4 linked regions of the Kluyveromyces lactis genome follow. The protein of the gene in region 2 interacts with the protein of the main gene of each other region in a pairwise test. Links are inferred from orthologs where the notes say so. Each region holds a gene or a part of one and is shown on either strand. Other genes may lie near its edges.

Region 1 (3,594 bases), on a different chromosome or scaffold from region 2:
ATTGCGAATTGTTGTTTGATTTTAACAGGTGACAAGAATTTAGCGTATTTGTTCACTAAAGACAAAGAGGTCGTTGAGTTATATCGTCATGTCGCTCCAATTTTGGCAGTTAACCAATTATATGATGCATTCACAACTTTTAGCGCTGCGATATTACGTGCACAAGGACGGCAGCAAGTTGGCAGCCTGTTAAATATCATAGCATACTATTTTATCGCATTGCCTTTAAGTGGATGGCTAACTTTTGGTAAATTTCAGTTGGGATTAAAAGGGCTTTGGTACGGATGCGGTACCGGGATCTTATTACTGGCGTTTGCTTTGAGCTATTGTGTTTTCAATTCCAATTGGGAAAACATAGTGGAAGAATGCCATAGAAGAGAAAAAGAAGAAAATGAGGTTGACTTAGAGAGTATGGCAAGTAACATGAGCAATATTATCGATGTTTGATTTGTCGATGTCAGTTTGTTGGACATTTTGAATGCCGTGTACATATTTTAATTATAATAATAAACAATAGATGAAAAATAAATACAAGTTGAAGGTCGAACTCCAAATTATCCGAAAATTTGAATATCGTCATTTTTGATCTCTTCGTCTTCCTCGTTGTGCATCGTGTCAGCTTCCAATTCATCGTCTTCATTGAAGTTGATCTTTTGACCTAATAAACCAGCAAAGAATTCATCAATTTGCTCATCCGACCATTTATACCCAGTATTAACTGATGCTTCATAATTGGCAATTGGTTCTTGAATAGAGTAATTTAGTTTACGACCCTTTGAAGCCTTGGTGTCGATGTTTTTCTTGAGCTTGTTTTCAGAGCGAGAAGTGATGGCCAAAGTAACACCATTGGATTGTTGAGAGTTAGATATTTTTTTCTCAACAAGATCATTCAACAAAACTCTGTAAAAATCTTCGTCATCATAGATATATGGGTTTTGGGTAAAATCTAATGCATTGTTATCCTTCCTTCTTGGATCGTAATTCTTTGGAATATCCAAATTATTTTCTTCTTCGATGTCTCCTTCTACGTTTTCCTCCAGTTGCAATTCTTTTAGTAGACCTTTTTGTAAATCTTCATCAAACAACAAAGGTTTAGTATTGCTTCTATTGAGTTTTGTCCTTTTAAGTAATCTTGGCATATCAGCAAGTTGGTTATCCACTTGTACATCAGCTGACTGGTTGATCGCTTTAAACTTGGAGGCTTGCAGAAGAGATTTTCCTGATGATGCAGAAACTTTTGCTGACCATTTGTTAAGTACGGCAGAACGGTATGATTTTAAATCAGAATCCAATGTTACAGTTTCATGTACTAGTTCCTTAAAACTTCTCTTTTTGCTGTTATCGAAGTCAGAAGGGTTCTCAGATTGGTTTATGTGATCACCGATTTGGAATTTATGCCTTACTGTAACACACTGGGTCAAAACTTTCTCTAAAACTTTGAAAGTACTAGTTAGCAATTTGGAGTTATTTTCATCTAGAAGTTCATCCCAAGATTGTTGAGAAAGTGGTAACTGGTTTGAAGCGGATAATGCTTTTTGCAACTTAATTCTAGAGTCTAGAATTTTATCGAAGAATTTATTCTGTTGTAAGATGGCATAACCTTTGGAAGCATCTCTCTGAGCGGAATGTGCTAAATTATTAATCACTTGTTTAGTTTGCGTCTGTACTATCTTGGCCAATTTCTCTTTCTTCATCGCAGTCTCCTCATCTTCCTCTCTATCTTTCTCTATTTCTGACTCGGAAGTGGCTTCAGATTCGGATACATCTTCTGAATCGCTTCTAAAGGATACTGCATCACTCTCTTCAGATCCGGATTCAGCTTCAGACTCACTTTCTCCTTGTTCAGGAGCGTCCATTTCTTCGTCATTGAACAGTTCTGCTCTAGACCCTTTGCTCCCGACGTATTTCTTATCCTTTACGGCCAATCCTTGATCGACCACATTTCTAAGTTTTGACTTTCCTACTGCCACATAATGCTGTTTCTTCAACTCTTCTTCGCTCTCATCGCCAGAACTAACATCTGAATCGGACCCACCATGTTGAAATACACCTTCATCATTCTCAATGTCGAAATCTTCAACTTGTGGTTTATTCGCAATGTCTGCGATTTGTTCGGCCAAAGACTTTTTACCCATTTAATCTGCGTGTATTTTACGTGTACTTCACCGTCCTCACTTACAACTCACTATTGAGTACAGCTGATTTATCCATATAAGAGTCTCTCATCTCATCTCATCTCGTCTCATCTCTCAAACATCAACTTTCTTGAATTTTTCAACTACAAAAAAGAAACTCCAGATTACCTTTTCGGATCTTCAAAAAGAAGAGGAAAATATATAGATCACGTGCTATTATTAAATCACGTGATTGTAAGATAGCGATTCTTAGTCTCAAACTCTCGATGCACCAAATATCCAATACAAATTACTTTTAAGAAGCCTCATAGCGTCTATTAAGGTCAAATATATCTATTAAAAGTGAAAGCATAGTGTTTAATTTCCACGTGACTCGCAACCAATGAAAACACGTCATCGTTTCCTACGACTACTGAGGAACTTAGATCGTGTTTTTTTTTTTTTTTTTTGGACCTCTTTGGCCGGAACAAGAACACAAGAGCAGAAACGAAACAGAGACAAAGAAGAACACATAGGAGGGAGGATCCGATCAAAAACAGAGAAAGTTTTGAAAAAATATAGGTAAAGGAAGGAAAAAAAATTGAAAATTTATTGAACTTTCAATATTTCCACACCTTTAAGAAATAAATTTGTAATTTACAGGAAAAGAAGCTTTCGTTCTACGTTAGCTTATTTGTATTTTTTAAGTGTATTTGCTATTTTGTTAGTGATTCTGCATTGATCAGATTAAGACAAGTCTCTCTTTTCCGATTAGGTGTGTGTTTTGTTATTGCCATTGTACCAAACCTTATCTTAAGCTTTAAACTTCATTTAATCTATTGAGCAAGTTTTCTTCCAATTGTTTGAATAACCATAAAATCATTGAATTATTGAATCAAAGAGACCACTATATACAGAGTCATGTTTTCCAGAGTATTTGTTCGTTCTATGGCAGCTTCTGCCAAGGCTGGTGTTAAGCCTCCAGTGCAATTGTTCGGTTTGGATGGTACCTATGCCACTGCATTGTTCACTGCTGCCTCAAAGACCACTTCCGTTGAAGCTGCTGCTTCCTCATTGAATGCTTTGAAGGAAACTGTTGCCAAGGACACCAAGTTGACCAGCATTTTGGAAAACCCAGCCTTGTCTGCTGAAGATAGAAACATTGTTGTTGACACTTTGTCCAAGAAAATCAATTTGGATCAATCCGTTCAAAACTTGTTGAAGGTTTTGGCTGAAAACAACAGATTATCCTTGTTAGAACATGTCACTTCCCAATTCTCCAAGTTGACTGATGCTTACCATGGTCTTGTGCAAGCGACTGTTACCACTGCTCAACCTTTGGACTCTAAGTTGTTCAAGAGAGTGGAAAAGGCCTTGGCTGCTTCCTCTTTGGTTGGTAAGGGTAAGTCTTTGAAATTGGAGAACGTTGTCAAGCCTGAAATCCAAGGTGGTTTAATCGTTGAAGTTTCCGACAGAACCG
Region 2 (4,185 bases):
GTACGCAACGAGAAGAATAAAGCAGCAAAAAAAAAAAAAAGAAAAAGTTCTTGTTTAACATATTTAAAACGAGTCCAACTACCTCTTCCATTCTCTAGCATACATCGATATTGATTTATCTTTTTCTCACATAGTTTTGTAATGTATAGAAATTACATTTCCGATTTTATAAAATACAAATAATATAAGGTTTCAAGAAATCGATTCTCAAGAAGGACTTGTACATGAAAAATACAAAAGAATAGATCATACGGCTAGGAAAATGAGCTCATAATCTGAATCATTTGGATCTTCAGATACGTGTATAATATCAGAGCTCTTTAACTCGATATACCGGGCGCTAGGAACGGCTGAATCATTCAAACACGTACCGTTGGAAGAATCAAGATCAATCAAGTATGGAATTAAAGATTCACCGACTTGTCGGAATTGTACGGCACAATGTTCTTTCGAACAGCTTTCCTCTTGGATTGGGATATCAGCAAGAATAATTTCCTCTCCATCAGATTCGAAGCGTCGTAGACTCTGACCTAATCCTCTACCGATAATATAGCAACTTTTATCATGCAACTTAGTTTTACTTACTTCACCCTTGACGCCCTTCCTATACACAACAAGCTCATAACGAATTTGATCCCACTTAGGTACTTTTAGCTTTTTATAGAAATCGTGGGGTGATATCGCATCTTTGGGCTCTACATGCTTAAGTTGTATGCCTTTTTTCTGGTGGCTTTCCAGTTCCAATAATCCTGATGGCTCAAATATAGGCAAGATTACTTTTTTTTGGGCACCTTCATAGCGGCTTCTTTTCGTTTCGTGATCGTATCGATATCTGCTACCTTCACGTTTGATGCTCATTCTTTTGGCGCCGTTGCTTCCATAGATGACGGTATATTCCATATATCTTACATATTTATTCCATATATTGTGCAATTCACAATATAAGGTTCATCTGTCATTTCATCGCTTTTCATGTTGTAGGAAAAAAGAAATAGAAAAGAAAATTTTTGGTAAATAGAAGAGCTCATCTCATCTCATCTCATCTAGATAGAGGTTCGAACCTCAACCTCAAGGAAAAGTAGTTTACTTTGTCTTTGAGCGGTATCATTAATCGACCTATAGAGAAGTTGATTAAAGTAGCAAACTGGTGCATTTAATCATTTAACTAAACGTTTAATCAACTGTGCCAATATAACTTATAATTGGTTTGCAAAGAGCATTTAAAGATGGCCAAGAAACAAAAGCATAATACCCAGCAGCGTAAGCTGATTCGTGAAAGAGACAGCCAGAAGATCAAAGATCTTGAAACTAAGGTTGAAGAATATAACCCGAAAATTGCTAAGGCTAATTTGTTTCAAGATTTACCCATTAGTGAACAAACTCTAAAAGGGTTGAAAGAAGCAGCATTTATCAAATTAACCGAGATTCAGCGCGAGTCCATACCTCTCTCCTTGAAAGGCCACGATGTATTAGGCGCTGCCAAGACAGGTTCTGGTAAGACTCTAGCATTTTTGATCCCTGTTATCGAAAAGTTATACAGAGAGAAGTGGACAGACATGGATGGGCTAGGTGCATTGATCATCTCCCCAACAAGAGAATTGGCCATGCAAATATATGAAGTGTTAAGTAAAATTGGTAAGCACACTACCTTCTCCGCCGGTTTGGTTATTGGTGGTAAAGATGTTACTTTTGAGAAAGAGAGAATTTCGAGAATTAACATTCTAATAGGAACACCAGGCAGAATCTTACAGCATATGGATCAAGCCGTTGGATTCAATACTTCAAATTTACAGTTGTTAGTACTCGATGAAGCCGACAGATGTCTAGATATGGGTTTCAAGAGAACCCTTGATGCCATTATTAATAATTTGCCTGCTTCAAGACAAACACTTTTGTTTTCAGCTACTCAATCACAAAGTTTGGATGACTTGGCTAGATTATCTTTGACAGATTACAAACAGGTAGGAACGATGGAAGTTTTAAATGCTAATAGTTCATCTGCGACTCCAGAATCTTTACAGCAGTCATATATCGAAGTGCCACTACCTGACAAACTTGACATTCTGTTCAGTTTCATAAAATCGCATTTAAAGTCTAAGTTAATTGTGTTTCTATCAAGCTCTAAACAGGTGCATTTTGTTTATGAAACTTTCAGGAAATTACAACCTGGTATATCTTTGATGCACTTGCATGGTAGACAAAAGCAAACGGCGAGAACTGAGACGCTGGATAAGTTCAGCAGAGCGCAACATGTCTGTCTATTCTCAACTGATGTGGTTGCTAGAGGTATTGATTTCCCATCTGTTGATTGGGTGATCCAGGTTGATTGTCCTGAGGATGTCGATACATATATCCACAGAGTTGGAAGAGCAGCCAGATTCGGTAAAGAAGGTAAGTCACTCATTATGTTAACACCAGAGGAAGAGGAGGGATTCTTGAAAAGATTAAAAACTAAAAACATTGAGCCCAGTAGACTAAATATCAAACAATCAAAAAAGAAATCTATCAAACCTCAGTTACAATCACTCCTTTTCAAAGATCCCGAATTGAAATATCTAGGCCAAAAGGCTTTCATTTCTTATGTTAGATCGATATACATTCAAAAAGACAAAGAAGTCTTCCATTTCGACAAAATACCATTGGAACAATTTGCTAACTCTTTAGGTTTACCAGGTGCTCCAAAGATCAAGATGAGGGGAATGAAATCGATAGAGAAGGCAAAGGAGTTGAAAAATACATCAAGACAGCTCCTAACCCTAGCAAAGGCAAATGATGAAGGTGATGTGATTAAAGAAAACAAACCTGAAGTGAGGACCAGATATGACAAGATGTTCGAACGGAAAAACCAAACTGTGCTAAGTGAGCACTATCTGAATGTCACCAAAGCACAAGCTCATGATGATGAGGATGAAGATTTCATCATGGTTAAACGTCAAGACCATGAGTTGAATGAAGCTGAATTACCTGAACTTCTTGTTCCAACATCTAAGAGAGCCCAAAAGAAAGCATTATCAAGGAAGGCAACATTAGCATCTAATGGTAACCCAACCAAAGTCAAATTTGACGATGATGGTAAAGCTCATCCTGTTTACGAATTAGAAGATGAACAAGATTTCCGTCAAAATGGTAACTCAGAGAAGCAAAAAGAAGAGTTCTTGTCTAAGGAGGCAGAGCTTATGGCAAAGGTTGATGTAGAAGATAAACAGGTTGCAAAAGAGAAAAGGCAAGAAAAGAAACGTAAGAGACTAGAAGCAATGAGAAAAGAAATGGAAGCTGATATGGAGGATAGTGATTATGAGGATGAACCAGTAGCATACCTTGGAACTGGGAACCTAAGTGACGATATGCAATCTGGAGCTGACACTGAAGACGATTCTCAAGATGAAAGGCAACCAAGAAAAAAGAGCAAATATGCTGATTCCAGTGAAGATGAGGAAGAGGAAGAAAGAACTACTGAACGTGATAGAATTATCGAAGTGGAAGAGCCACAGACTCTTGAAGATTTGGAATCTCTAACAGCAAATTTGATTGGATCTTAGATTCATCAACTGCTTGACTTATTTAATCATGTATAAAAATAGACGATAACCTTGCATTCCAATAATAGGATAACATCTCCCTTTTAGGATTACGACAATACACTTGAATAATTTATTGCCTCATCAAAGTAGCTCTGGCATTTACCGACTTGCTTCGTGATTCAAAGCATTTCACCCACAGACCTTCCAAAGATCAAAACGTTTAAAATGACATGTTACTTGAAGGGAAATTTCATTCAAAAAGTTTTGTTTTAAACCTGTTCTGCGAATGAAAAATTAAAATGAAATAAGAATAGCTTTTGTATGTGTAGTATTATAGAAAGAAGCAAAAGTTGTCGTTTCTAAACGATAAGAGTTCTATTCTATCCAAAGTTGGTGTCAAATATAAGAAAACCCCAATATACCTGTATTAGATAGGCTGTGATTAGTGAGGGTAGAATTTCGTGGGTTTTAGTTCCAATTACTACTCTGCAATGTCGAATCAAAGTGACTTAATTTTATCCAGACCGTATCTTACTAAATCACAACTACAGAAATCCCAGAAATATAACATTCCTGATCGCCGAACATATAACCAAAAGAGGATATTGGTGTTCAAATATTTATGCCAATTATGTGTTCACCTCAAATTACCAAGGAAAGTTTT
Region 3 (4,065 bases), on a different chromosome or scaffold from region 2:
CATATTCTTGCAGAAAGTTTCTATACCTTGGATTTTTCACGGCATAAGCATCGCCATCTTCATCGTCCTCGTCACGAATTCTCATACCCTCTACGAATAATATCGTAGGTGCCATCCACTTGAAGACCTTAGATTGGAAAGATCTCATAGAAAAGCCCGATTCCCTTCCAACATATAATTTCTGGAACCTGGAGAAAACAATCTCCTTCGGTAAAAAAGTTGCTAACTGCGATAGCTCAGATTCATTTACAATTTTAGTAGGATTTGAGATTGGTTGAAGAACGTCCGCGTCTACGAGATCTCTATCCATATAAAGAACATGTTCCATTAGCATTTTCAAGGGATTTAAAAGATTAGGGGCAACATCATTAACGGCCATGGAAAATTGGGTATATGTGATTGATGAATCCAAACAGTCTGACATTGATATAATCTCGGGGTTCATTGTGCGTACAATATTAAGAGCTTGATGTTTGAAGTCCTCTAAGCTCTTCGCCAAAACATCATTGTCAATTTTACAATTGTTCAAAATGCAGCAGCGAGAAAGAGCCAATATCAATGCCAAAAAGTGAAGAAGATTATTTGCATTTACTTTCAATTCATCAAAATCAGTTCCGTTATAAGATCTAATGACCCCTTTCCAATCCTTACAATCAGATAGAGCCGAAGAGTCCATGAGAGGTTCAGCTTTGATATTCTTTTCCAAAGAGAGCGTAATAAATAGCATTTTCAAATCATTGTACTTTTTCCAATCGGTGTACTTGATGGCTCTTTCCTTGACTAGTAATAGCGTGGCCTTTAACAAGGTTTTGAAAGTAACCTTTTCGTAGGAATCTTGTAGAAGTGGAAAGTTCGCTAGAGTATGAAACATATTCATAAATACCGATAACATTACAGCACTATCTTTCGGGATATAATACATTCTGCTAATATCTGAAACCTCGACATAATCGTTTAGTTCTTTGCCCTCAGGAATATTGTTCTTGAACGAAATTAGTTCAGCAGTAGTTAATTGTTTTAAGCATCTGTCATTGAAAAAATCCATTAAAGATTCTCCTTTTAGTTTAGATTCATTTGTCCTAGCATTTTCATGCTCTTTAGAAGTTGATTGGCCCATTTTGCATACATTATTGTGACAGTTATCCTTATGGCTTTCCTTCTTAGCACCTTTTCAGAGTATGTGTAAGAGTAAATCCTTAAATATACCTTAATGTAAAAAGAGGAGACTACGTACTAACACAAAGAAACAAAATGTTAACATATAAGAAAATGGTTGGGAGCAAGAAATTCCTGACAAGGTAGACTAGAGCCAGCCTGTATACATGGTATATGAAAGTGAAAACATATAGTTCTTCCGACCTGTAATTGCTCTTTACGGCTCGATTACATCTGTATTTGGCTCTTTTCACGTGACCGAAGTTCACCAACATTATTTTTTTTCTTTTTGATTTTAGAGTTTTTTTTTTTTCTTTTCAAATTATGCCAACCTCATCTCATCTCATCTCATCGACACCTACTAGTTAATCAGTAAGTTCAAGATTTTAAACCTTATGCACATCTAGTTTCGGTATCGTGCCAACGAAATCAACTAAGTGAACAATTTAGAGTCATATTAGTATACTAAAGGATGAATTCGAAAGGGGAGAAAAAGGAGAAGATCACTGAAGATCCAAGATTTTCTGGGATTCATAATGATCCTAAGTTTAGGTCAACTAAATCCAAGAACTTTAAGATCAAATTGGATGATAGATTCAGTAAACAAGATCTAGAAGTCAGACGTAAAGCAAAAGTTGATAAATATGGTAGAAAAATTGTGGATGCTAACAAGGATGTAAAGGATTTTGATCGTTATTTTACCAAGGAAAAGCCGGAGGACAAGGAGGATGAGTCTAATTCATCCGAAAGCAGCGATGATCAAGAAGCTGAAGCTGCTGTTCATGCAAAATCTGTTGATAGAGCTCGTGGTGAACCTCCTGCTGATTACGTTTCTTCTTCTGATGAAGAGTCCTCCTCTGAATCCGAAGAAGAATCTGGGGACAGTGACATTGAATCAGAAGAAATCGAACTAGAAGAGTCCAAACCTGCTAGTGGAAATGCCACAAATACGTTGGCTGTAGTGAACCTGGATTGGGATCATGTCAAATCTGCTGATTTGTTTGTCACATTTAAGTCTTTCGTGCCTAAGGGAGGAGAGATTCAAAAAATTGCCATATATCCAAGTGAATTTGGTAAAGAAAGGATGCAACGTGAAGAGATCGAAGGTCCTCCAAAAGAATTATTCCAGTCAAAGAAATCCAAGAAGAATGATAAAGATGATGATGAGATTAATGTCGAATCAATTTATGAGGAAGGAGACGCAGAGGACTATGATTCTAAAGCACTTCGTCGTTACCAATTGGAACGTCTAAGATACTATTATGCCGTGGTTTACTGCAGCGACATTAGGACAGCCGAATCAATCTATCAAAACTGTGATGGCACAGAATATGAATCTACAGCCAATGTCTTTGATTTAAGGTATGTGCCTGATGGTATGGAAATGGATGATGATCCTCGTGATGAATGTACCTCGCTTCCAAAAAATTACAAGCCGGCACAATTCAGTACAGATGCCCTTCAGCATTCCAAGGTAAAGCTTACATGGGATGAAACTCCTGCAGACCGTGTGGAAATATCTAAAAGAGCATTCACTCAAAAAGAAATTGAAGAAATGGACTTTAAAGCTTATTTAGCCTCCGATAGTGAAGAATCTGAAGTTGAGCATGATGATCAAGTTAAAAATAAACTCAAGGCTTTAGTAATGGATTCCGTAAAAGTGGGGCAAAAGTCACTATTTGATCAAAAGGAAGATGAAGACGATAATGAGGCTGATATGGAAATAACTTTCACTCCAGGCCTGGATGAGTCTGGCCAACAAGATACCAATGATAACGAAGAGGAAAGCACCATTGATAAGATTAGACGTAAAGAAAAAGAAAGACGTAAGAAGAGAAAGGACAGAGTCAAGGAGCTTAAGAAGGAATCAGAAGCCAAATTAAAGGAGAACCTTAAGAAGAAGAAAGATACTTCTCACAGCATCGATGACGATAAGAAAAAGGGAGAGTTAGAGCTCTTAATGCTAGATGAAAATGAGGGTGAATCAACAATTAACAACAAGGCACACTTCAACATGAATGAGATTCTCAAATCTGAGAAGGAAAAATCCAAAAAGGCCAAGTATCAAAACAAGGAGAAGATTGTGGATGATGAATTCACTCCAGACGTTAATGATCCAAGATTTAAAGAGGTCTTTGAAGATCACGATTTCGCGATTGATCCTACTCAACCAGAGTTCAAGAAGACACCAGCTATGGAGAAGATTTTAAAGGAACGTACAGTACGTTCAAGCAAAAAATCTAGGGGCAAAAAGCGTAACCACGAAATTGCAAATACTGAACATAGTAAAGACATAAATAAGATCGGCGGTTTAGTTGAAAAACTTAAGGCCAAGAACAAAAGAACAAAACACTAATTTGCAAACTTGTGGACACTTTATATCAACCCAAAGACGTCCACATCTTATATGTATATATTCAGCATTTGATTAAAGCATAAATACATCATTTCACTTAATCATGCGACTGTATCATGGCATGGTCTGTAACTTTAAGTCATTTCCTTATTTATCCAGATTTGTACGTCATATTCTGTGTGTGAACAAAAAGAAAAAGTGCACATTATCACATTATATGAAATAGGTTCATCTTTCTAAAGATTATCTAAAATTGTAGGTAATACACGGACAAACCGATAAACTTACTAGATAGACTCTGCCACTGCCATAATATCCAGGGAATAATGGGGCTGGTACAGGGTTATGAAAGTGAGAGTAGTGATGATGGCTCATCTGTAGCTGTGCCTAAGAGATCGTTAAAAACATCAAAGGCTGAATTGAAGTCCAAAAGACTTAGGAGGAACGGGAAAGGACCATGGGCAAAATGGCAAGGATCTAGTGACGATGAGATCGAACAATTATCAAAGGATTCAAATGCTTCTAATTCCTTAGATTTAGGTGGTGATGAGGAT
Region 4 (3,024 bases), on a different chromosome or scaffold from region 2:
TGCAACGGAGCAGCCTTGATAATGTCACCCTTTGCATTACGAACAGATCTACCACCTTTGTACATGTTCAAAAACTGCACTCTCTTGGTGTCCCTGTAGAAATTCTCACCCTTCACACGAAGGTTACCATCCTTGGTATTACCTTCGCGGATTCTCCTTTGCTTTTCCTTCTTACCGGTACCCATTGTGCCTTGGTATAGATTTCAATTAGGTTTCCTTTGGTTCGTTCGTTTGTTCGTTCTTTGTGGTAACGAACACGTTCAATTTCGATCGAAAACTCAAACAGATGGAAGAATAAGTAACTGAATGTCTCTTGCCTGGACTGAGATCAACCTGAATCGAAACAAACCACTGATGAACCTGCCTTTGTTCCTGTTCCAATTCATGAGATGAGATGAGATGAGCTGGAAAATTTTTTCTTTTCACTTTTTCTTACACTATGGGAATGAAAAAGAAACCTGATCTTTGACCATGGGAATGGCAGGCGATGAGTTGTACTCTCTGTAGGGCTTTTGGCTTGGCTATATGCTTTATATATGTGTTATATAGTCATCTTAGAATAAACTATGCATGACATCGTTGAGTGCTTTCGATTGCGGTTGGGATTGTCTCTGAGAATCTGGAGCAGATGCTCTTGTCGAAGCGACTTTCCTCTGTTTGAAAGTCCTGCGAACTTCTTCATCGACCTGCTGTGATTCTTGTTGGTTACGTTTCTTGCTCTGTTTCATCTTGTTGACCATCTTTGATTTCTCTACGTTATGGATGAACTCTGCGTTCAACTTGTTGGCCTGTGAGATTTCCAATTGTAGCTTTGCTTGTCTGATATCGTTTTCTCTAGCGATTTGTTCTGTCAAATCGGCCCATTTGAACCCGGGCAAGTATTTAACGTTCATGACGTCGTCATGGTAGAAATTTCCCTTCTTACCACCGATAATATTACCGTTTAGAGTCGATGCGCACAGTTTAGCGTCCTTCTTTCTGATAAACTCGGCCCAACCTTCTTCAAACATCGTTTTCTTGTTCCCACCACTCTTGACACGCTGCTGGTGCTTGTGCTCCTCTTCACGTTTCAAGAACAGACGGTCCACTTCACCGAATCTTGTGAGAATCTGCCTTAGCTTGGCTGGTTTCATGTACGGTGGAACCCTCGATAGGTAAACCACACCGGTCTTGTGTTTCGTCTTCTTATCGCTCTTAAGCTTTTTGAGTCGTCTCTGCTTTTCTTTCTCTATCTGCTGTTCTGTGAGTTGTACTACCTTATCCTCCGGTTCTTCTTCATCCTGTACTTCCTCGTCCTCTTCCTCTTGCTCTTCCTCGTCCTCTTCTTGATCAAACTGAATCACATTCTTCTTCGCATCCTTCCCAGTGATCAACACTTGGTTGTCCTCTTCTTCGTCTGACGCAAAATCATCCACATCGCTGTACTCCTTGCTCATCGTGTTATTGTTGTCCTTAGTTAACCTGCTGAACCTTGTGGTCTGTTGTCTCTTCTCTCATGTATATGGTTCATCTCATCTCATCTCATCTCATCGCTTTAGTTCCAAATTTTTCAGTATGGCACTCACTGTACAGAAGAAATGGGAACCAATCGTACTGGACGACGGACCGATACCACAATGAAGTAACGGGTCTGTAGCCGGTGTTTGCAGCCTGTATGGCCGGAGATCGCGAACTTGATCCATGTCTGCTCTTGCTGCACGCTTGAGCAGCTTTCTCAGTGAGGTGTGCAGGTCTTACATACATATTCTATATAGAAACGGCTTAAAACTACGTCAAAGCAGGAACCTCCCCACTCTCTTGGCGTAGTTCCCTCCGCTTTGCTACCAGAGTTGCCATTGCCATTGCTCATTGCCATTGACATTGCCGTTGTCGTTCCACTGTTATCCGGTTTGTGACAACTGGTGACTGGATTAATAATAACCCGACACGAATGGCAAGAAACCGGAAAAACCTTGTCCGTTCGAGAGATTAATCCAGATATATAAAGGGGAAGTGCTTCCGATATAGATGAACAACACATGTATCCTTGATCTAATTGGCTTGACTTGTTGATTTATAGTCGCCCCAATACAAACAACACACACTCGATATATTTTACAATATGTCTGCACCTTTAAACGTTGGTATTGTAGGTACCGGTATCTTTGCAAGAAACAAGCACTTGCCCACTTTCCAACAGCACAGCGATAAGTTCAAACCAGTCGCATGTTTCAACAGGACCAAGAGTAAAGCAGATGCGTTTGCTGTCACTGCTGGTATCGAGGAGTCTAAAGTTTACGCAGATTTGGACCATTTGTTGCAAGATGATTCCGTTGACGTAGTGGATGTGATGGTTCCTGTTCAATTCAACTATGAGACTGCGAAGAAGAGTGTAGAAGCTGGTAAACCGGTGATCTTGGAAAAGCCGATTGAAGCTAACTTGGAACAGGCTAAGAAATTGGTTCAATTGGCTGAATCTACCGAGCTTCCAGTTGCTATCGCAGAGAATTGGTTACATTTAGAATGTGTGCCAATAATGAAAGAGAAATTGGCTAAGATTGGTCCAATTGCTGCGTTCACTTACAATTCCACTGGTCCCTTCTATCCATCGAGTGAATACCTGGCTACCAGTTGGAGAAAACATCCAGAACACATTGGTGGGTTTTTGTCCGACGGTGGTGTTCATCAACTTGCGTTGTTGACTACTCTATTGGGGGACATCGGTAGCATTGCTGCGTTTTCTAACCAATTGAGAAAGGAATCTGGTACTAACGATATAGTGTTTTCCAGCGTAAAGCTCAGAGACTCGGATGTTATAGGTACGTTTACATATGGGTCTGCATTCGGTGCCACTGAGAAGAGTGTCTTTTTGAAGGTTTACGGTTTGAATGGGTCTGTCACTATGAACATCAATGCTCGTACATGTACCACGATCAAGACTATGATCGGTTCTACGGGAGAAGTAGAAGCTGAGGAGGAAACCGTGGAAGTTAAGGAACAACCTTTCTTTGGTGTGGAAGCAGAATTCGAAAACTTCTATGAAGC

What was found. The genes of interacting proteins can lie anywhere in the genome.
Region 1: the proteins of HCA4 (region 2) and BFR2 interact in binary tests that used the Saccharomyces cerevisiae proteins (3 or more experiments, as listed by UniProt). The link is inferred for Kluyveromyces lactis from reciprocal best matches to the Saccharomyces cerevisiae genes HCA4 and BFR2.
Region 3: the proteins of HCA4 (region 2) and ESF1 interact in binary tests that used the Saccharomyces cerevisiae proteins (3 or more experiments, as listed by UniProt). The link is inferred for Kluyveromyces lactis from reciprocal best matches to the Saccharomyces cerevisiae genes HCA4 and ESF1.
Region 4: the proteins of HCA4 (region 2) and ESF2 interact in binary tests that used the Saccharomyces cerevisiae proteins (3 or more experiments, as listed by UniProt). The link is inferred for Kluyveromyces lactis from reciprocal best matches to the Saccharomyces cerevisiae genes HCA4 and ESF2.

What each region holds. Positions count from the first base shown.
Region 1 is NC_006039.1:887,569-891,162, forward strand, and holds BFR2 (rRNA-processing protein BFR2), read right to left. Parts: upstream 2,136-3,594; coding exon 555-2,135; downstream 1-554. Other genes in the region: ERC1 (Erc1p), read left to right, coding at 1-447; ATP5 (F1F0 ATP synthase subunit 5), read left to right, coding at 3,036-3,594. UniProt on the Saccharomyces cerevisiae protein: Involved in endoplasmic reticulum to Golgi transport. Involved in a protein-transport step blocked by brefeldin A, which disrupts the Golgi apparatus and its incoming protein flux. May also be involved for mass growth or cell proliferation.
Region 2 is NC_006040.1:801,137-805,321, reverse strand, and holds HCA4 (RNA-dependent ATPase HCA4), read left to right. Parts: upstream 1-1,226; coding exon 1,227-3,539; downstream 3,540-4,185. Other genes in the region: PML1 (Pml1p), read right to left, coding at 247-900; CTK2 (Ctk2p), read left to right, coding at 4,013-4,185. UniProt on the Saccharomyces cerevisiae protein: ATP-dependent RNA helicase required for ribosome biogenesis. Involved in the release of U14 snoRNA in pre-ribosomal complexes. Required for pre-rRNA cleavage at site A2.
Region 3 is NC_006041.1:1,888,687-1,892,751, forward strand, and holds ESF1 (pre-rRNA-processing protein ESF1), read left to right. Parts: upstream 1-1,627; coding exon 1,628-3,511; downstream 3,512-4,065. Other genes in the region: RTC5 (Rtc5p), read right to left, coding at 1-1,117; CDC40 (Cdc40p), read left to right, coding at 3,838-4,065. UniProt on the Saccharomyces cerevisiae protein: Involved in the 18S rRNA synthesis. Required for the early cleavages at sites A0, A1 and A2.
Region 4 is NC_006039.1:1,673,282-1,676,305, forward strand, and holds ESF2 (RNA-binding ATPase activator ESF2), read right to left. Parts: upstream 1,437-3,024; coding exon 555-1,436; downstream 1-554. Other genes in the region: putative GTPase NOG2, read right to left, coding at 1-185; KLLA0_C18887g (uncharacterized protein), read left to right, coding at 2,102-3,024. UniProt on the Saccharomyces cerevisiae protein: Involved in the small subunit (SSU) processome assembly and function, and in the 18S rRNA synthesis. Required for the early cleavages at sites A0, A1 and A2. Stimulates DBP8 RNA helicase ATPase activity.